3 linked regions of the Styela clava genome follow. The protein of the gene in region 1 binds, or shares a complex with, the protein of each later gene. Links are inferred from orthologs where the notes say so. Each region holds a gene or a part of one and is shown in the gene's direction. Other genes may lie near its edges. The genes, in order: TBC1 domain family member 23-like, syntaxin-16-like and protein FAM91A1-like.

Region 1 (7,493 bases):
AAAGTTTTAATGATAACCAAAATGCCTGTAATATCATAAACTTTAAAGATACCGTTGTCAAATAATTCGTTCCATGCTCAAATATTCAAGCCTTTGTGTATTCAAGCCTTTGTGTTGTGTATTCCAAAATACAATAGCCTATATTTGGATTCTATTTAGTGTTGAGAAATTTCGATTTTTCATTTGCTTAAATGAGTTTCAGAGGAAGTGAGAGTACAGCTGAATATTAATCATTTTAACTTCGATACACAATACTGAACCATTCTCACCTGAGTTTTGTTTACTTGCAGAAATTGCTCCAGTTATCACCAAAACAAGAAGAGCAATTCCTAATGGAACTTGCATTCGTCCAGCTACACTGACTGTAATATGAAGGAAGAAAATATATGAACATTACTGTACTACAATATCAATAATATAATAACCTTATTTCATTTGAGATTACTTAAATGAAGTTATGTCTAACATTACATTATGAGAGTATGTATGCCCATTTCTTATTTACCCATATTAGGATAGGATTTACATATTTATCCCGGGGGAGGGGTAGTCGATAAGACGGCCTGACCATAGGGTGAACCACGGCCTTTCGTCCGGTGACCATTCCATGTTGGGTATGGGATTAGTCGTTGTTTGTTTTCAGAAGCATGGACTTGATGGTGGACCCTACGGCGACGAGGAGCCCCATCGCACATAACCATCCCCGCATGGGGTTCAAACCCACACAGAGTAATCAGATGTGCGGTAGTGAGTGTATTCCTAATGCTTAGCATAATGAGCCACACCAACATTATAAATAAAAGTTTTGCTTTCCACTAGTCTAAAGAACACTTTTGCAATCTCAGCTGTTGTGTGATCTCAGTGATTTTAGTTAAGGATAGGAAATCAATTTTTTGAGAATGTCCTTATGCGATTGGGATCATGTTAAGCGGTAAATGAGATTGTATACGAAAGAGGCACCAACTTTTTAAATCAAATAATATTATCTTACCCAAACAGATCAGAAAAGAGATCCAGGCAGGAACAGCAGCATAGCGAAGCCATCTCACAGATGCTGGATCAAGTGTTAGTGCTGAGACTGTATAACCTCCAACTACAGTTATGAGCTATAATATTAAATTTGTAAATTATTATTATTACCGGTAAGTTTGTAATGAATATATTTGTAATAACATTCACATCTATTCCCAAAAAATATAGATTAGATAAGTAACCTGAATATTTTAATCTGCATTTGATGAGAGATATCAGCTTCCTACATTAATATATCATGACAAATAATTTTATTAAATTTCATATATAACATCAAAGTAAGTTTTGAAATATTATCTACACCAGCTGACTTTGCCATCTTATTAGGCCAAAATTCGAGTCATTTCCAATTCATCAAAATATTGAATTGCTGAAAAAATTCTGAATTATTCCTATATTATCTTATAACCAGGGTCATATCGAATCCAGATTAATTATATTCGATACTTAAAAATTTTAGATTTTGGAAATAGTTAAGATAGATTTATTTGAGGAATCTTCATTCTGAATAATTGAAGCCTTATAGTATAACTGAACCAAATTCAATTTCTATTAATGAACAATGATTTCTGAAATATTCTTGGTTGAACAAAAAGACAATTTTAAATGTTTTGGCAATCTCTGCTTATATCTTATATTCATTTTAATGATGAAAAACATATGAAATGTGTTAATTTAACAACTTATTTTGTTCATACGGACAGACAATGTAAAAATAAGAGTTACTCACAATGAGTCTATACTCAGCAACAAATTCCACAAAATCTGAAGTTGTGTCCCACACAAGTACAATAGCATGCCATATACCAAGTAAGGCAAGTTGAAATATATAAAGCAATTGAATCAAATGAAGAATATATAGAACTGATAAAATTGTTGCAAGGGCCACCAGCATCTGAAAATAAATTGCATAGATGTAAATTATTTCCATTAATCGTAATCAATTTTACAATGTGAATATATCATTAGAATGGGATGAGGCCAGTCATTCTTGAAGTAAATGTTTATTTGACCATCAAGTATGGCATAATATTAAAATCCCAACATAATATATAAGTACATATTTGAAATTTATGTTCGGCAATTAGGAAATTGTGTTTAATAAACAAATCTATTAATAGATTGCACGCTGCCCGCATGACTTAAATCATGGATTGGCTACAAGTCGAGCATAAGGTTCAATTTCATTAAAATGGGTTGATCTCATTTACTTGTTCAAATTGCACAATGATATGCTAAAAGGCTTGAAATTGAGTTAATTAAAACTCACGCAAGTCAAGGAAATATGACTAGACTTGCCATGGACTTCATAAACTCAAGTCGGTTATAACTAAATAGCGCTTAATTTCGGCATGGCATGACTCAAGATAAGCTTTGAATCCATCTTTGTCACTATTATTAAGCTCTGCTTTTATTTGATTTTTGATTGAACTGTTTGTTTAATTTGTATTGTAGTAAAAACTTTTGGCAAATTGGCAAATTTTGTAGTGAAAACTTTTGGCAAATTTGGCAAATTTTGATTTTTGATATGATAAAACCATTTGAAACATTCTAGATAAAAATAGAGAACTTCTGTATTATCACATTAATCAGAAATAAACGAGCATGACTAGCAAAATATTGATAATCTTTTTCAAACTATTGAGAGATTTATAATTAAAGGTACCTTCCATCGATTGACAATAAATTTTCCCAGATTCTCTGCAAAATTATCAAATATACTGATGGGAATGAGAAGAGCTCCTATGAGTAATGGTCTTCCACTTTCCTCGTGAGCTTTCAACCAAGACTCCAATGCAGAATTCAACGAGTATTTGAATGGGAATAAGAAGAAACCTGAAATAATGGAAAGATAGTTTTTCATTGCGTATACTACACTTGTATATTTTTGATGTGCTGGAAAAACTGGAAATATATTACAATATATTAATAATGGATAGGCAATAATGGATAGGATTTATATAATTCCGGGGGAAAAGGAGAGCTAATAAGACGGCTTAACAATATGGCAAACAATGGCCTCTCGTCCGGTTACCAGTCCATGTCAGGTATGAGATTAGTCCCAGATACGTGGACGATGGACTTGATGGGGAAAGCCACACTTCAGCTCAAAAGCTTATGTTACAAAACCATCCATCAGCTGATGCACTATTTTCAATATAAAATTTTACCGAAAGTTGATTAGGTACAAACTTAAGCTGAATTAATATCATTGAAATTGAAATAAACATTCAGAAGTGGGTTGATTTCATTCTATACATCTAAGACTAACATATCTAAGCAAGAAGCACTTTTCCAATCATAAAGAAAATGTGGCCGTTTTAGTAAAAGCAACTTCTTTATGGTATGTCGCATCTGTTTCAATGCTCCAGGCAAGAGGGATACAAGCTTAATATGCGCATTGCCATGTATGAATGACCAAACCTTTGTTATGAAGAGGAATTGGGAACATTTTTTAATACATGTATATAAAATTTTATGTGTTAAAAAATTGCCACCTACATGAACTTACCACATAGTACAGCCCATATCAATGGCGTGATAAAAATTTCAAGGACAAAATAAACATAAACTGCAGCAGCACAACCGGCAACTGTAAACAATATGGCAGCTGCCGTGTAAAAAGCTTGTCGGAGTGGCTTTTCATGCCCTGAAAACAACATACAGATATTAAATTGGCAAGACAAGAAATTAATAGGAAAAATCAGAACAACAATTGTCTCTGAACAAATTCTTTGAAATACAATGTTTCCTGAAAAATTCAATATCTACTTATTCAATTTATTATTTCATTAGGCACACACTTCGAGGCTTCAGTACTTTACACAATAAGAGTATTACAAAATGTGACTAAAATTTAACAGGCATAGAAAATTTAAACTAGCATTTTTATGTTTTTGTCCACTTCCAGCAAATCTTATCTATGATTCACTCACATCATATCATTTCAAAAAAATATACCTGGAGGTACTAGTTGGGTCATGCTGTCAAACAGGACAGATCCTTGTCGTTGTAATCTCCTTGACGAACCTAACGACGCCATTCATGCAACAAAAACAATGCGACACATCATCGAGTTTCAACACTTGTCTACAAACGCAGCGAACCCCAGGAAATCCCCTGAGTGAGCTTTTGGGCAACCCACAATTATTTCAACTCTGAATGAATCTTGATCCCAAGTAATACGGTATAGGTTTCCTAATGTACAAGGACTTTAAACATGCACATGAACAGATATTTTGTTTACAAACACTGGAAGTTTATGATAATATGCAATACCACACCCGAACGTAAACTGGGACTTCCCCGTCAATTGCTAACAGCTGTTCTGTAAATAAATTTGAAAAATATTTTGTGGCTCAATGTCACCATCTCGCGGATATGAAAAACTTGATCATTCTTTGAGTGACGCGGCAGGATACCGATTACGGAATATCGAACCATTTGCTGTCTGCTCACCTTTAGAACTGCGGGCGAAATTTTGGGTTACGGAATTTTCTTTGTGATGATGCTTCGATATGGCTGATGACTTGGACGATATTGATGCGATTTTATCTGACGAAAATTTTGATTTTGTAGGACAAAGTTCACAAGAGAACATTGTATCTGATAGTGCATGTAGTGAGGTAACAATTTTATTAATATATATATAACTTCTGAACGTAGTAATACTGTACTAATATGACTTTTGAATCTCTAAACGGTCCTCTGTCTGACTGTTGAAATTTGCTTTGTGGATATTAGTAGTTTGGTCAGAGTTTTGAGTCCAGGTATAGCGGTTCAATGTGGCATGGCATGCACATGCAGACATGTGTGCGTGTTCTGGTGTTGAAGGACATGGAAATCAAACTGCACAAACATGTGATTAAATAGTGAAATCTAAAATTATAAAAAAGCGTCCCTACAAAGAAACTATGACATAGAATTCTGAGATTGGATTTTAGAAATTGTTTTTCTTTCTGGTCATGTTGCCGTGAATGCTTTACTATTCTGTATAATTATTATTCTATTGAATAAACATATCATCATATTTAGCGACATCAAATAAGAATGCAATATCGTTTTTTATGGATGTATGGTACAAATTCATTCCTTTTTAATCAAAAACATTTTTTGTGCTTCACATAAACACAAGACTAGATTAGACAACCTTGTTATGCTGAAGAAATTTAAATGTTTGTTTATTTGTGATCAAATTGTAAAATATCCATTTTCAAATAATTTTTATTGTTATGTTCCATTTCAGGACTTTGTTGATGATTTTGATGATGCGTGGCATGCCGAACTTGAAGATGCTTTATTAGAGGGATTCGTTGATCATACCATAATACGAAATATATGCAAGTGCAGAATTTTGCCACCAATTCATAGGTAGTTTTTTTGTTCTTTTATCCTTTTTTTTCAGATTTATTGCAATGTTCTGTTTTGAGAAAGTGGACATTGAGTAGATTATTTTTCAAATAAGACATGAATGTGTTAGTTGCTGGGAGGTTGCGTACTTGATTATTAATTGAAGCTATTTTGATATACTACAGATTTCAAATCTGTGCTTATAAATAGTTTAAAATGTCTGACAATTTTTTTTGTTATTTTCGTATCAGTTCTTCCTTTATAGTCATAATATCCTTGATTTTCAGCTTAATCTGAATCAGATGTTTCTTAAACGTTAGTAACAAAGCTTTGCTTATTTGAAAACTAATAATTCTTATATCAAACATTAACATGAGTAATTTTTAGTAAATTTATGATACTAATTATGGTTAGGAAAAGTTTTTTGCCCTATGTAGTATGTTTTATCACCAACTTTTTAAATAATTTAGTTACAAAACCTATTCATTTTTTTGAAATAAAGTTTTTAAGTTTAAGTAAGTAAGTTTTTAGGCATTATATATCATATAGACCAGTGGTCCTCAAACTCTCATGATCCATGTCTCACATCCAAAAAGTTTCAACGATCCATCAGTTCTTCGATGAAAACCCCAGTTCCGTTTTCAATGAGACACCATCAGTTACTTTATTTTTTATGTTTAAAAATAAAAAGTCAACAGAGGAAAGTTAAATAATAAATGCTTTATGGTCAAAGATTTAAATAAATCATTAAATTTTTTTGCACTTAAAATGAATATAGACATCGCACATGGTACCATGGCCCAGTTGGAGAAATCCTGACATAGAAAATGAGTAAGTTGTACTCCAATTTAAAATGTATATTACTTTATAGGGCGGAGGTATGGAAAATCTGTCTCAACATTGCAAGTCGTGGCAATGCGTTGAATTGCTGGGATGGGAAGCTTGATCTAACGGAACAAAATCAGATACATGAAGCATGCGAAAAAATTGTTGATCAATCGAAAACGGAGGATACCGAACAAGCACTTGCAAATTTAGAATTGATAATCACATTTTACTGCAAAAGTCGTGCCATTAAATACGACACTGAATATGCATGGACCTTTTTGTTACAACCAATGTTGGAATTACCGGAATTGGATCGTGCTGACTTGTACAACTGCTTTTATGCAATGCTAGCCCGTTACATACCCCGTGAATCACTTCCTGATGCCCCATATAATCTGTTTCGACTTATTCTTCTTTATCATGATCCGGAGCTCTGTTCGTTCCTCGATTCTCGCAAATTAACAATGCAGATGTTTATGAAACCCTGGCTTCGAACTCTATTCGCGAGCCATTGTAAACGTCCTGTCACTCTCGCCTTATGGGATATTTATCTTCAAAGAGCAGATCCATTCTTCATGTTTTTTCTGGCACTTGTCATTTTAGTGAATGCCAAAGAACAAGTAATGAACACTATGTTGGATAAGCAGAAGAATGAAATTGCCGACGCACTGACAGAGTTTCCTGTTGCTCTTGAAACTGTGGATGTGGAAGACTTCTGTCAGTTAGCTATGTATTTTAGTGACAAAACTCCACAATCTGTGCGCAAGGGTTATCAAGATGCTTTGTTCAGTGGACCCATGTCTTTGTCAGGATCGAAAGAAAGTACAAGAGTGGAAAGAGAATTAGCACAGTCATTGTGTATTCAAGTTGCAGTACCAGATATTTTATTATCTGCACAGCCTGACTTTTCAAGCGACGAACGGAGGTTTGTATTTTAATTTTAAAGTATTACCATTTTTATTTGATCACAGATGTATAAACAATATAGTGCAAAAATTTGGAGCCTTGGAAATATTTTTTCCATATATAGAAATTTGGAATCCCTGTACTCATTTGTCATAAGTTTGCCAAAAATTTGCACATTAAATTTAATGGAGTAGGGTATTGAACAATTCTCAGACTACAATTCAGAAGTTCAAAAATCTCAATGTGCTTTTATGACTATATCCATCCAATACAAGTTATCGAACAATTAATCATTATTGCATAATGTGAAATTTAACTTTACAGTGAGTCAAATCAAGTCAGATTTTTTCTTGTTGATTGTCGATCTCCTGATCTTT
Region 2 (7,409 bases), on another chromosome or scaffold:
CCGGTTCGGTCACCGAGGCTCCTGACCAATGCTGTGTATAAGAAATCTGTCAGATAAAGCAATAAAACTAAACAAAACGTTTTTCAAGTGAGGTCGTACAAAGCTCTCAAAGTGCTCCGTACGAAGCCCCAGGGCTCCGTGAGAGAAACCTAATGCTCCGCGGGCTACTGTCCAAAGACGCAATAACGGCATTAATAAAATGTGACAACAGTAGCGTCGAAATATCGCAAAGCGGTAATTCAAATATGACATTATCTACAAGCAGGAGCGAGCCAGGATTTTAAAAGAGAGGTGGTGGGTGTTCAAAATTGGAATCGGAAATTCTCGCGCAACATTCTTCGCGATTAGGCCACTCGTTAAAAAAGACTTTTTCAGCAGATAACGAGTTTTCTGTTGCGTAAAATATTCAATCTATAGCCGACGCGAGCACGATAATTTAATTGTGTTCATCGCTACTCGTTTTTACGTCTATATTACGATTACTAATAAAATGAAAGATTACTATTCTAAAATAACATAAAAAACGTTCTCAACTGCCAAGTACCAATTATAAATAGATGGAAATCGTATTTTTACGATCTTGGGATTCGTCAAATTGGATTTGATCTTTCAGCACTGAAGATTATTTTTAAGCAAGATAAAATCTCAAGGTCGGCGTTAAAACCTCCATGAGTACAACTCACAATTGCGCAATCCCTGACCGATGGGGGCATGTTTAAAATGCCGTGTTTTTTGGCTTAATTGTGTTCAATGTAACCTGCGATTGCGTCGACTTACGACAACATAAAATCATCACTGCTCAGAATCACCGCGGCATCCGCGGACATGGAATGAGAATCAAAGTTGCCGCATAACCTGGATGACGCTGTTGTCGTAAGATATTAGAAGTAATGTAAAGCATAATCATGACTGATTGTATGGCAGATTACAGCAATTTAGCGAACTCGACAAATTTGAGTCGTTCCTATAACGCTGACTCCCTATCGCATGTCTGTCACTCAGATTCTTTCAAAGATATATATCACCGTTTGAAAAATCACAAAATACGGATGATTAAAATTTATTTTATTGCAATAAAAAATTGATTGAAATACTTTACATTAATTATCTTATATATCGTCACATATCGAGAAAAAGTCGCATGCGGCTAAGTCGGTGCCCAATTAACTATGTTTCGATTTCTGTTAATACCGTATAATTTCCAAAGAAAACCTAAAATAACACCAAATTTTGTTATTAACATTGTCTTAAAAAGCTTTTTCAATAGACCTTTCCCCGAGCATCGACTTCCTTGTTTACTTCGTGACATTGGCCAATCTGGAAGATGCAAAAAGTGACGTAACAATGCTCCCTTTTCGCATCCGCTCAGACACATTTCTCACTCTGACAGATTTTCAAGCGTGGTCGTAAACATTACCTCGTTTTCGCGTTCTTGAACTCTATTCGTTAGTTTTCAGTTGTGTTTCGGAAGCTCAAATATAAATCAGGTAATTCAATCTGTCTTCTTAGGGGTTTTACTTTAATTGCAGTAATAAAAAATTAGGGTTCCATTACATTTGAACCCACGTACATTTGAACCCATGACAATTGCACCTGTATGCTATTGCACCAATGAAATTTTTTTTGTTTCACGAATAGTTAAACCCATACTACCCTAACCCATGGGTTTTAGCACCGGCATATAGGTTGAACCCGTGGATATACGCATGGGTTCAAATGTACGTGGGTTCAAATGTACGGTCACCAAAAATTAGTGTAGAAATGGTTCCATTGCATTTGAACCCACGTACATTTGAACCCATGACAATTGCACCTGTATGCTATTGCACCTATGAAATTTTTTTTGTTTTTCGGATAGTTGAACCCATACTAACCCTAACCCATGGGTTTTAGCACCCACATATAGATTAAACCCGTGGATATACACATGGGTTCAAATGTACGTGGGTTCAAATGTATGGTCGGTCACCTGTAGAAATAGCTATGATAGACTAGGCTAAAAAAATTTACCGGTACTTTTAAAAAAACAGATTGTTGTATGCGATGAATCATAATGATAATTTGAAACACATACCTCATTTTACAGTCGCCAACTCGCAAAAGCACTCTTAAGTTAGCCCCGAAAATTCTGCAATGGTAAAGTATAGGAAGAATTTTTCCGGTGTCAAAGGTCGGAAAAATGTCCATTTGTCACGAGTCCGCTAAAACAAAACTTATGGTGTTATCTGTTTTAAGTTTTAGTTTTAATATTTTATAATGCCGCTTTTCATTCAAGAAATTTGGGTTGCGTATACACCCCTTTATTAATTATTCTTAGCATATCGTCGCCGATGATATATAATATACTAACTTGTTTTTCACACTGAACCAACGACTAGATACCGCACTGAACTCATAATTCCACACCAGAACAAAAAGCAATTATCGTCTTCCTCGTGGAACAATTTATGCATATGCCGATGAAAATTTGTGATTGAAGGAGAATAAACACCGACGTGCAAATGTTTACGGACTAAAAAACATATCAAACCGACGAAAATAATCGGCGATTTTATCAAGATGCAATCGCGCACGTTATTAGCGATTTTTCAGTCTTCAAAAATATCAGAAGGGAGGTTCGACCCCGAATTTATTAATATGTTTGTTCAGTGTCAAATTTACAGCCTTAATATATATAATTTATCTGTGAAATTTAGATTTATTCATGGCTGGTATTAACCCTATTAAAAGGTTAGTCATTGAAATTGAGTAAAATAATTTTAACCAACTAAGGAATATTAATTGCCTAATTGGTAAGTAACAATTTTAAAATTTATTGTGGGGCTCCGTGAATAATAGTCATCCTCTTCAGGGGCTCCGTAACACCAAAAGTTTGAGAACCCCTGGTCTAACAATGTATGTAATATGAAAAATCACGCGGCATGCAACTACAGAGAGCTTTTGCTCATTAAACGATCCACTTTGCATAAAATGAGTCCGCGCATTTGTAAACAACTGGTCAACGTTGACTGGTAACCGGGCGAGAGACCGTGGTACGCCTTATGATTAAGCCAGAGCCATTACATAATGTCCCTGATTAAGCCGTCTCGCGGGATATCCTTCTCCGCCAGGATAAAATAATGATCCCTATTCAAAAGATAAACACTAAACACACTAAAATTTAGCTGGTGGGTGAGTGGGCGTGTGTCGCTCCTAAACTTAACACTGTAATAACCTATTTTGTATATAAATTACTCGGTATGTTAGTCGTTGATATTACTATAACATTATGTGCTCTGTATATGGACGTTTTGCTCGCTCACCCAAACTAGCCAATTTCTATGTGTGCCTATTCATTGCGCGATGTGGGAGATGTAGCTGCTTTCAGACTCCTGCCACTGCCTGGGTAATCGTCGCCGTTCATCTACGCTTGTGACCTGTTAAGTGCAAGCAGCTGACTTGACGATATTTTCTATTTGACTTGTGAAGGTATTTCGGAATTTGTTTTATTATGATTTTTAAGTTAGGTTGTTGTGGTACCGGTATTGGTAACAAGAGTATGCAGTACGGTTGTACGACAGGCCAGAAGCAGTCTGATGGGGACGATTTTAAGTTGGCTTTTAATAAATGATTTCTGTTGTTTATTTTCAATGCTGAGTATTTTTATTTACACAACGTAAAATGTTCATATGCTTATTTCAATTTCTCGACACTAAATACAGAAGTATGAATGTTAATATCAATCAATCTTATTTTGGTCACTCTGAAAGAAACAAAACTACAACAAACGGACAAACAAAATGCAGAGGACCTGGAGGACGGGTATAACTTAATAAAAAAGTTAAAAGCGTACAAGTAGTCTACGTGCCCGTCCACCAAAAACAGTCAAAAGAACACAATAAAATAAAGACACATGCAAAATCGGGCAATACGGTACCTTTTGAATCAATTTTAAAATGTGAGACACTGATCAAAAGAAGATCATGGAAACACTTTATACAAACTAGAATTAAAAAATTAACAAAAAAAATTGTGGCTGCGGTTCTTATGTGGTGATTACAGAAGATATTGATTGTTCAGTGAAATTTTATCACATAACAAATGTAAATCACGAGAAAATGAACTATGTACAGATGTATGTGAGAAAGTGGCATGCATAGACTTGAGGGCTTGCTGATTGCATTCTTGTATGGCTGTTTTTGATGAAAATGATATATGAAATGATAACCTCCAGTCAAACGCTATGCTGTAAAGTGTAACTAAATAAAATACGATTAAAAGGACGTTTCTAGAATTGATAGGATGGAATGCATGACTGTGGTATGTGTATCATAACAGTGCTTTTCTTACAAAAATATGAAATAAAAAACACCATCAGCTAACTTAAGAGCGAATAGGTGAAAGCATCAAACAGTCTGAACGATTTTTACTCTTAATTTATCATATTTTTATATTAATTACCGTAATATAGCCTAGTAGTCTACATATCATAATGTTGACGAGATCTCTCACTGACGCATTTATACTCATGCGCAATAATGCGCTACAAAATCGTCATATGTTTTGGCAACGACAAGATGTTGAGTACGATGCAGATGAAAATGACGAAGTCTCTTTGATATCTAATCGAAAAGGACAAAATTCAATGCAGTTGAAAAGTCTTCCACCAAGATGGTTATCGACAGTCGAAGAAATCAAAGAAGGAATCAGCCAAATCAAATTAAAAATGGAAGAATTATCAGCTCACCATCACAAACATCTTAATCGTCCAACGTTAGATGATGATGTTGAAGAAGAACAAACTATTGAAATCTTGACTCAAGAAATAACACATTTATTTTACAGCTGCAATCAGAGCGTTAAAATTCTGTCTAACCTTTCAAAAAAAGCTTCCAAGCATGAGAAATTGATGTCAAAAAATGTTGTTTCGGCTATGGCTTCTTCATTACAAAATGTATCAAATGATTTTCGACACAGTCAATCTTCTTATTTGAAAAAGTTGAAAGCAAGAGAAGATAGGTCGAGACATTTTTTTGACTCTGATAATGCGATTATGGTCGAACACAGTGAAATGGATATCGATGATGAAACATTTGAACGAGGGTTTTCTACAACGCAATCTGCTCTTGTTGAAACGAATAGTCGTATCATTGAAGAACGTGAAGAAGAAATTCAAAAGGTCGTTCAAAGTATCTCAGATTTGGCGGAAATATTTAGAGATTTGAGTAACATTGTAGTGGAGCAAGGAACTGTTCTTGACAGAATTGATTATAATGTTGAAAACTCTGTTATGAAAACGGACGAAGGAGTAAAACAATTACAAAAAGCGGAGAAATACCAAAAGAAAAACAAAAAACTTTATGTTATCTTTGTACTATCAATTATAACGGCAATAATGCTAATTATCTTAATTATAAAAAAGGGTTGATTTTTTATTCATATCTATTTTAAATATGTGATGTATTCTACTATTTAGTTAACTAGTTGTGTGATGTAAGCAAATGTGCAATGACTTTGATAGATGTGTGTGTGTGTGAGTTATTCTAACTCTGCACTTGATGTATCATAAGGTAGTACTTATCATACCATATTAAATGCTGGTATTATTCATCCATGGTGTTGGTCTTTTATCACTCATTTTCATCAAATTTCATTTGCCCACTGATCCTAAAATCTGAATACTATTTTGTAATTATAAAATGATTTAACTCGGCTTCACTTCACCCTGGTTGAAATAAATCGGGTAAGCATTACTGAAGTGTAAATCAGCCTCTGCTTATGTGGAGCCTTGTTTGGAGCGGAATTCTTAAAAATCACATAAAAATGTGATGTCCTTTTCATTTTTTCAAATGACTCTACAGATTCAGATTGTAGCGTGTCTCCCATATTGTTTGTATTTGCACATGCTTATTTGGTCTGTATCACTACTGGCTGATAGCATGTCAGCTGCTGTGCTTTTAAAACATAGTAAAAAGTGAATTTCAGGGCCAGGAAATTCTTCAAATCGTGCATTGCTCTGAACCTAAATAATCATGAACAAGTGGTAACATAATATCAAGAATAAACATGAAACTGCCACCATGGGTTATGTACTGATGTTATGATTTTCTGTACGGAAATAGAGCTGTTTATAATGATTATACAGACTTTCTATGGTTTTATATTCACTTATGCAGATCCACCTAGAGACAAGGGTCTATCGCGTTTGTATGTACTAAAATCATTCCAGTTTGGCATATTCTATACATTTTATTCGGTGGATATGGATCATTGGATCAGAAAGCAGAAACCTAAAATGGCAAGAAATCTTATTTACCATGATAATACGCGGAATTTCATCAACCGATCAAACGTCTGGCTAAATAACACTGTATGACCTGACTATAGTTTTTTGTTTTATATTAACATTGTTAATGCACTGCTAGTTTTTTTTATGTGCCAGGAATTCCAGTAAAATTTACAACTTAGTTCTAAATATTATTGTACATTTATTTTTTAAATAACTATATTTCTTGCTAATTTTACCCACTTTATCAGTTGTGTTATATTAATTTAAAGTTGTAGAGCCGTGATGTCTTGAGGAGGTCTATTTAACTTCATTATGACTTCACCTCAACCTAACCCTAGAATAGAAAATTTGAAAACAGCAGAATTTGTACTTTTACTTCAGGTTGAGAAAATTCTGGTCAGTCCTGCTTCAATGATTCCCACTGGGAACAGAGTCAGAATTGCACTGAAGTTTTGATTTATTTGTGTCATTAGTATAATGCTTATTAGTTCACTCATCTTTGGTGGGCAAAATGGGCTTTAGTTTAAAATTATTTTTGCTTCAAGGTTACTAATTTATTGTTTAACTCTGACCTGCTAGTCAATAGGTATAATTTACATTGCTTTAGTTCTACTTCATGTTTGTGTCGTGTCTTATTTTTATACTTGAAAAATTAAATTTTTAATGGTTCCTAAGTAATTCAAGAGCTTTGCTGGTCGCTGCACACTAACATACAGTAAATATATTTTTTGTAACGTTTTGTCGGACCAAGGTCAGACATAATTCAACTACAACAAAATGAGAAATTGCATACTCGTCCAAACAATGAGTGTTATGCCATGTGTTATATATTTGAAGCCATTGAATATGGGTATTGGTAAATACCAAAAGAGATGAATAGAACATGAAAATTACAAGGTGGAATAGTACTATAGTAGCTTGGATTCTGAAAACTGACTGAAGTCCCAAGTCCCATTTGTATGCATAGAAAATGTATAAGATCTGTCGAAAAATGAGTCTTGATATTTGTCTTTTTTTCTTTTTGCCAACTTGAAAAATTGGGTATGAGGATATTTTCCATCGTGTAATTCTTATTTTCTGTCCTTCGTTTTCCCATATTTTGGGCACAAAGTTATTTTATATGTGTATTTTCATCATTTAG
Region 3 (7,064 bases), on another chromosome or scaffold:
TGCTTATTAGAGAAGTCTTCAATCCACTGAAAATGTACAATAATAATTAGTGCTGGTGCTTATACCCAGTTTAAAGTTCAGCCAAGGATGGACCACAGTTGTTCTTCCCTTGTCATATTCTTGAGTCAATTGTTACCAATACCATTCATTCACTTTTAAAATTCCTGATTTTTTTACAGCATGATTTTTTTTTGTTCCATGTTATATAATATTAATTCTTCAGTTTTGTGCTTCAATGATTAAAGGAACGTGCTACCAAGTGTTTATCTTCGGTAGCATGGATATAAAAATTTCAAATGCTAATTTTAATAATTTTTCTAATAAAGCAAAATTATTTGAATAAGTTTGTAAACTTATTATAAGGTAATATTAGTTACTTCAGGGTTGTTACTAATATATGAACCTCTGATCAGGGCCAGATCACGTCTTCAAGAGGCCCCGAAAATAATAATGAGACTAGTGTGTTCCATGTTATTCGAAATTGAATTAAGTTTCAGTATTCATTACCGATCAGATCAGATTAACTTTCAGGATATTTTAGTTCTTACGTCGACAGACATTCATAGAGATTTACATGACAAGGAAAAATTTCAACTGGGCTCTGTTCATTAAACTCTTGAGGTACGAAGAGTTTCTGTGGTGCCTGAACTCATGCTTAATCAGCTCTGCCTCTGAGCTTAAGTATGATATATTCTAGAGTTCAGATTACACATCAAATGCCAATAGCTGAAGAGTCCTTGTTGTATGAAATGTAGTTTGGGGATCATATGAAGAGTTGATTTGAATCAATATTCTAGGTTAAGATACGATTCACATGCCCACAACGCAGATATTATTCCTGACGGGTGTCTGCAGCAATGGCATTTCCACAGCCATTTAATATAGAAGTTTGTGGCCACCCAGGTCTCGCTTTAACCCTCCTCAGTCATACAGGATAGCATTAAACAATCCCAACAAATTAACCAGTAACCTTCAATAATGCAACCGTGGGCATAGAACAAGTTTTCAGAGTGGCAAAAGACTTTCGCACTATATCTGAAACCAAAAAACTAAACTTGCTTCTCTTCTGCTTGAAATCTACCCCATTCCATAACACAAATACATAAAGAACAAGCAATGACCTATAAATGACTTTATTAATAAAGTCAAATTGGAGAAGAAAATAATATTTAATCTTCTTCTTCCTCCTCTTCTTCGTCTTGGTTGATCTGGAAATATCTGAAAAGAAGATTTCACCAATAAGAAAACTAAAAAAAAATGTAAAGTGGGAGATGCAATTACAAAACAACAGGACTCGGAATGAGAGTCCTTTTCTAAACAGCCTGCAGTTCTTTGTAAGAGAATGACTGATCTGGGTTTAAAAGGAGGACTTATATTTCCACCCAGGATTAGATCTGCAGATGTGTCGTAGAAGTACCGTATATTCTCGCGTATAAGCCGAGTTTAAAACTCAAAAAAGTTGCCAAACTAAGAGGTCGGCAATTTTGTTTTCTACATTTCATAATAATAACACATACCTCAGTTCATAAGAGTCTTTCGTAGCAGCAATGACTCTCAACCAATCACGAAGGTTATTTTTCTTCAAGTATTTCTTAGTGAGGTACTTCAAATATCTAAAAAAAATTCAACTTTTATAACTAGTTTTAATTTATGGATGTACAAATATTTCAAAAAAAGGTGCAAATTTAATTTCTGTATTCAAAAGTAATATTCAATTTTGGCCCTCTATATATAGGCCTATATATGTTGAGTGATAAAAATGAACATAGCAAATACAAATATACCTTTTTGAGAAAGGGATGTCGCTCGTGATATTGATCTTCGTCTTATTAAGTTCAATCACTACTTGATTTCCAAGATTATTAGTTTTGCCGTTAACTTTTACTCTTTCTTTCAAAAAGTTTTCCTGTGACATAAAGCATAAGTAAAGGTCTAGGGAAGGCGACCCTAGCCCTTACGTTGAGTACAGACACAAAACTAATTAAGATGTTAATTAAGGAAAAATACGAAAAACATAAAACAGTGCATTGGGTTTTTAGCCTACATTAACTTTGATTAATTAAGTAACTTACAAAGTTGCCGACATCCATGATTCCATCTTCGACGGGGTGCGTGCAATCAAGAGTGAATTTTAATTGAGTCTTCTTTTTCTTGCTCTTGCCTTTAACAGCTGCACCTTGTCTCTTTTGTGCCTGAATGAAAAGAATCAATGTGTCATTCTGTAGGCTGGTTTCAATTGAATTCAAGCCAGATATGTAAGGCACAGAAAAAGCAAATTTATAGTCAAGTTTGGTCAAAAAAATACAAAGTCAATAAAGATGCAGAACAGTGAAACATAAAAAAAGTCACTCAGGCTCCCGTATTACCAGAGACAGTGGTGTAGCATCCACCCCCGCGGTCGCACCCACAGCGCAAAGAGGCCCAAACTGTTAGAATTTAGAAATTTAAGCTGCAAACCAAAAGCTGCAGTGCAAAACAAGTAATGCACATCTTATAACATTGATGTTAGTTCTGCTCAAATCGTTTTGTTACGTAGCAATGCCAGGAAGTCGTCAATTTTTCGGCGTCTTGTCGTCTGATCGCACCGGCAAAATTACGAAGGCTGTCAGAATGTCGAAAGCAAAACCTCTCAGTGGCGCACAGAAACCCAGAAAAAGGGCAGAAGAGGAACGTATGAAAAAAATAAGTAACCAAAATAAACGGCAAATTTTAGGTTACCATTGTCTTTTTATAGCGACATGTTACGCTTTTTGGCAAAATAAAAAAAAGTGTTGTTTTAGCTTATGTCCGAGAGTTTCCAGGGTCATTTTCACGAAATATTTTTGCGGGGGGGGCCCACGAGAGTCTTGCTACGCCACTGACCAGAGACACTGTAAATACCCATGTATTCCTACAATTTCCTAATTATTTCATCAAGTAATATAACAACATAAATTCAAATACTCTTTTTCAGCGTTTCTAATTGGGAGTTTGAGAATCGGTTGCTGATTTGAAATGTACAAAATACAGTACAAAAAATGAAACAACCCATGTGTTAAAGTGTGCTTTAATTCCGATTTGCAACTTAAATGTGTTTTTACGCTGAATCATAGCAATGGTGATTTGTTGGCTGAAACTAATTGTCAGTCAGTCAGTTGATTGGCTATATTGGTTCAACCCAAAAGATGTCGATTTCGTTTATTACTGTATTAAGTTGTCAGAGCGTGATAATTATAATGAACCGACTAATAATGCTGTAATGTGAGAACTTTCTCAATTCAGTGAATTATTCAATTCTAGAGTGTATTTTACCACACCATACTTTACATACAGCCATATGTTGATTTTTATAAGCATCAATGAGTGGAAATATGTCATAAACAATCACACCCAATTTAACATTAAAAAACACCTTCAACGACTTAAAGCTACATTTCCTTTCAATTCGTGGGATACCATGACTTTATTACATAGAAATGACAAGTCAACAAATTTCAGAAAAATCAATTATTTCAGTATTTATTGATTTAAGCAATAAAATTTAAAGTCAAGTACCATCAGACTGCAGTAGGCAGTTATCAGATAAATACTCCCATTGCTGCATTATGGCAGTTTTGTCTACGCAGATGTGAAATAACACAGCAAAGCTAAAAATCATCCCTATCACAGTATCATGAATTTCTAGTCTACTTCTCGCCAAATAACTGCGCATAGAGATAATTCATAACTATTTTACTTGAAAATTTACACGTAAAAATTGATTCAAAGATCCAATACATTGAATTACAAATTCGTTTTATTCACATAAAAATTACACGAACCGCCGCCATCGTGGTCTTCTAGTCGAAAAGGAAGATCACGTGACGTGATGTCCAATGTTGCAATTCTGGAATTCACAAGGTGGCGCTGAAGAATTATTATTTGCAAAATATGGCTCCTTTACCTCAAATTCTGATTGTTTAAAATAAAAGATAAAATTGCCTGCACATTAACTGATTAGAGATGAAACGTTTTAACATAAGCTACTAAACATAAAACGTTCTATTGGCAGTGAATACCTAACCTATCTGCATACTATTGATAATGCTGAGGAAAGTCACAACCGTAGCAACCCTACGTTCTGACGTTTGTTAGTGTTTCTTCCGAGTTTTTGTTTACATTTTAAGTTTGTTATAAATGAAGGTTTATGTTACTGAAGTTTCGAAATGAATAAGGATGTTGAAAAGCATATTAAGGATGGATATGTTTGGTCAAAACTGCCTGAAAGGGTTAAAATGGTGAGTGTATTTTGCTGTCTAGTTGCTGAATTGCTCTATGCACCTATACTTTTTTAATTTTAGTATATTGAACTTGTTGGGATATGCTGATATGTATAACTCATTAAGACCAATATCATAAAACAATAGGTAACAATATGAAAATATTAGGTTAACCTTTTTGGTCTAAAATTGTTGAATTATCTAATTGAATCCAAAATTTTTTGAAGAAAACACAATGAGAAAATCAGCTTTTTTCGCTACTTAGCTATAATTCACAATTATTAAAAAAATGATTTACCCTCATTTGTGAATAAAAGCATAGCAATACCTAAATACAGTCCTATTTTAGCAAACTTCATACCATAATTTAGAAATTGTTATGCCATAAAGTTGCTTCAATCATACCACATGATTTTGTTTTAGGCATGTGGAAATTCAGAAGAAGAATACAATCGATCGTTATTAAATTATGCAATTCGAAACCAAGTTCGATATCGTGGTTCAACTGTTCGTCATGTGATTAAAAATGAGAAAGCTTATTATGAACGACTTCTCGATTATAGCAAGAAAAATTTAATGTTGTATCCTTATCACTTACAAGGTAGTTTTTACTATTTTGTGATTTATAATTTATGTGTTGTTGAATTAACATGTGAGAAATGAAATAATTTGGTTTGACATTGCATGCTATTGCACCTCTGATAACCCTGCATGGGTTCGCTGGTTTGAATCATGTGGGAAAAAATGTGTTCTAGTGCAGCGATTTCCTCAGAATACTGCTGTTCTGCGAGCTTTTTCAAAGCATTCCACGGAACGGGAATCGAAATGACTCATGAATTTTACATTCTAATTTCGTGGTGTTTCGCAAGGCGAGATAAAAAGTACAGGTGTTCTGTGGCAAAAAGGTTGAGATATAGTATCCTTCATCATCAAGTCCATGGATGTGTAACAAATAATTGGCTAACTATTCTGATATCCAATTTGTTCTAGTAGTTGGACAAGAGGTCATAGTTTGTCATGTAATCAAGCCACCTTATCTGGTTTCCTCTCTTCCGGAGAAAATATGAAATTTGTATTTAAGTATGTATATTGACATAGCTGGTGACATTTCAATTTATTCTGTTAATGAACTGAAATTATTGACCAAGTCTATATTTATTGTGATTTGATTTAAAATCATTCCTAAGTTGATCTCTTTTCTTTATCACAATTATGGACCTTTCCCCGACCTTTGACCCTCGGAAAATTCTCCCTATACTTTACCATTGCAAAATTGTCAAGGCTATTTTAAGACTGCTTTTGCGAGTTGGCGTCTGTAAAATGGGGTATGTGTTTCAAACCATCATTATGATTCATCGCATACAACAATCTGTTTTTTAAAAGTACCGGTAAAGAATTTCAGGCTAGTCTATCACAGCTATTTCTACACTGATTTTTATTACTGCAATTAAATTAAAACTCCTAGAAAGACAAAGTGATCATTGAATTATCTGATTTTTATTTAAGTTCCCAAAACACAACTAAAAACTAACGAATAGAGTTCAAAAAGTGAAAACGAGGTAATGTTTACAATCACGCTTGAAAATCTGTCTGAGTGAGAAAAGTGTCTGAGCGGATGCGAAAAGGGGGCATTGTTACGTCACTTTTTGCATCTTGCTTTGCTTAGAATTGGCCAATGTCACGAAGTAATCAAGGAAGTCGATGCTCGGGGAAAGGTCCATTCCACCTTGTTTTCAATATCTTCATTTTTCATAGTTTATAGACAATGCATGATTTTTCCTAAAATTTTCAGATGTAAATATTTGGTCGGTTGGATAGTGTACTTTAAGTTTCAAATCCAAATAACTTTAATTAATTTGCTGTGTAATCACCGTTTTCAGAAAGAATGATTGGACTTCGAATGACTGCGTTTTCCTATTATATATCAATGATGGAAGAAATAATGAAAGAAGAAAGAAGTTATGATTCTCTTCCGAATTTTACAGCTGCAGATTGTGAGATCAATTTCACTATTATCCATTATTTTTTTAATTGAATTTTTTCGTGAGAATTTCTTAACGTGGGATATCAATTCGGTTTTTGTTTTTTACATCATGTCTATTTTTATATATATCTAGTTTGTTGCTTACCTATAGCCTTGTTTGAAGAAACTTTTTATTTTTATATTTTTCATATATTTCATTTAGGCCTTCGGCTACTTGGCATTGGTAGAAACCAATATATTGACCTTATGAACAATTCTCGTTCGAATAAAAAGTTCTCGTTTCGAAGGAAGCCGCAATACCGAGAATTTTTACCAAAAACTCCAGTCTTGACTAACATAGAGCCATGGTGGTTGGTGAATGTGGGTTTCATCACTGAAGACGATATCAAGGTTTTTGATTTGTAATCGCTTTGTATGTGGTGTATTAGTATTATTAGTTTGAGTGGTGTGAACCCATTATCTATGATGATCCTGAATCCTGATTTACAAATGCATTCCTTTTGATAGTAACACAACTTAGGTTTCTTTGGATGGGTTTTCCATTTTTTCCGCCAGACAGACCTTGCTTTCGCAGTGGGTTGATAACTAACAACAACGCCTAACATATTTTCTAGAGAATATTAAATGTATTAGTACTAGGCGTAAACAAAGATGTGATACCTATAATCTGTCTATTTAACAAAATATGATCAACCTGCCCTTTCAACAAGCCATATGTAATATTTCATGTTAGATAAAACCTCACAAAATCTTTTTCAATCATGCAACAAATTTCTTTTTATTAAACCAAACTTCTCCTTTTCAGTTTTGTACTCCGAGAATGAAGACGTGCATTGATAAAC

Evidence for each region.
Region 2: the proteins of TBC1 domain family member 23-like (region 1) and syntaxin-16-like are in contact, whole or in part, in a crystal structure (PDB 8QQF), measured with the Homo sapiens proteins. The link is inferred for Styela clava from reciprocal best matches to the Homo sapiens genes TBC1D23 and STX16. Residues at the interface, in NP_001186127.1 of Homo sapiens: Leu638, Asn639, Ser640, Val641, Val642, Lys643, Ile644, Thr645, Ser646, Lys647, Lys648, Ser661, Ser662, Ala663, Ile666, Thr683, Lys687, Ile690, Met691; in NP_001001433.1 of Homo sapiens: Asp209, Asp210, Asn211, Thr212, Leu213, Tyr214, His215, Arg216, Phe218, Thr219, Glu220.
Region 3: the proteins of TBC1 domain family member 23-like (region 1) and protein FAM91A1-like are in contact, whole or in part, in a crystal structure (PDB 8JJ9), measured with the Homo sapiens proteins. The link is inferred for Styela clava from reciprocal best matches to the Homo sapiens genes TBC1D23 and FAM91A1. Residues at the interface, in NP_001186127.1 of Homo sapiens: Arg533, His534, Val535, Ser536, Ser537, Asp539, Val541, Gly542, Lys543, Pro544, Tyr545, Arg546, Val548, Pro550, Val551, Phe552; in NP_659400.3 of Homo sapiens: Arg49, Glu60, Arg61, Tyr64, Asp84, Ile85, Lys88, Gly89, Leu90, Arg91, Ile92, Thr93, Phe95, Ser96, Ile159, Pro161, Tyr176, Ile177, Thr178, Glu179, Asp181, Ile182, Lys190, Asp194, Ile197, Asp198, Tyr216, Asn217, Lys218, Gly219.

The regions. Positions count from the first base shown.
Region 1 is NC_135252.1:15,043,372-15,050,864, reverse strand, and holds the start of TBC1 domain family member 23-like, read left to right. Parts: upstream 1-4,456; 5' UTR 4,457-4,550; coding exon 4,551-4,658; intron 4,659-5,278; coding exon 5,279-5,403; intron 5,404-6,253; coding exon 6,254-7,135; intron 7,136-7,440; coding exon 7,441-7,493. Other genes in the region: transmembrane protein 245-like, read right to left, coding at 270-362, 992-1,106, 1,763-1,927, 2,699-2,868, 3,545-3,682, 3,994-4,075. UniProt on the Homo sapiens protein: Putative Rab GTPase-activating protein which plays a role in vesicular trafficking. Involved in endosome-to-Golgi trafficking.
Region 2 is NC_135251.1:18,717,788-18,725,196, reverse strand, and holds the start of syntaxin-16-like, read left to right. Parts: upstream 1-4,401; 5' UTR 4,402-4,471; coding exon 4,472-5,407; 3' UTR 5,408-7,409. UniProt on the Homo sapiens protein: SNARE involved in vesicular transport from the late endosomes to the trans-Golgi network.
Region 3 is NC_135264.1:10,396,095-10,403,158, reverse strand, and holds the start of protein FAM91A1-like, read left to right. Parts: upstream 1-3,972; 5' UTR 3,973-4,184; coding exon 4,185-4,256; intron 4,257-4,661; coding exon 4,662-4,839; intron 4,840-6,118; coding exon 6,119-6,232; intron 6,233-6,424; coding exon 6,425-6,612; intron 6,613-7,027; coding exon 7,028-7,064. Other genes in the region: large ribosomal subunit protein eL22-like, read right to left, coding at 1,170-1,218, 1,518-1,613, 1,785-1,906, 2,073-2,192, 3,801-3,809. UniProt on the Homo sapiens protein: As component of the WDR11 complex acts together with TBC1D23 to facilitate the golgin-mediated capture of vesicles generated using AP-1.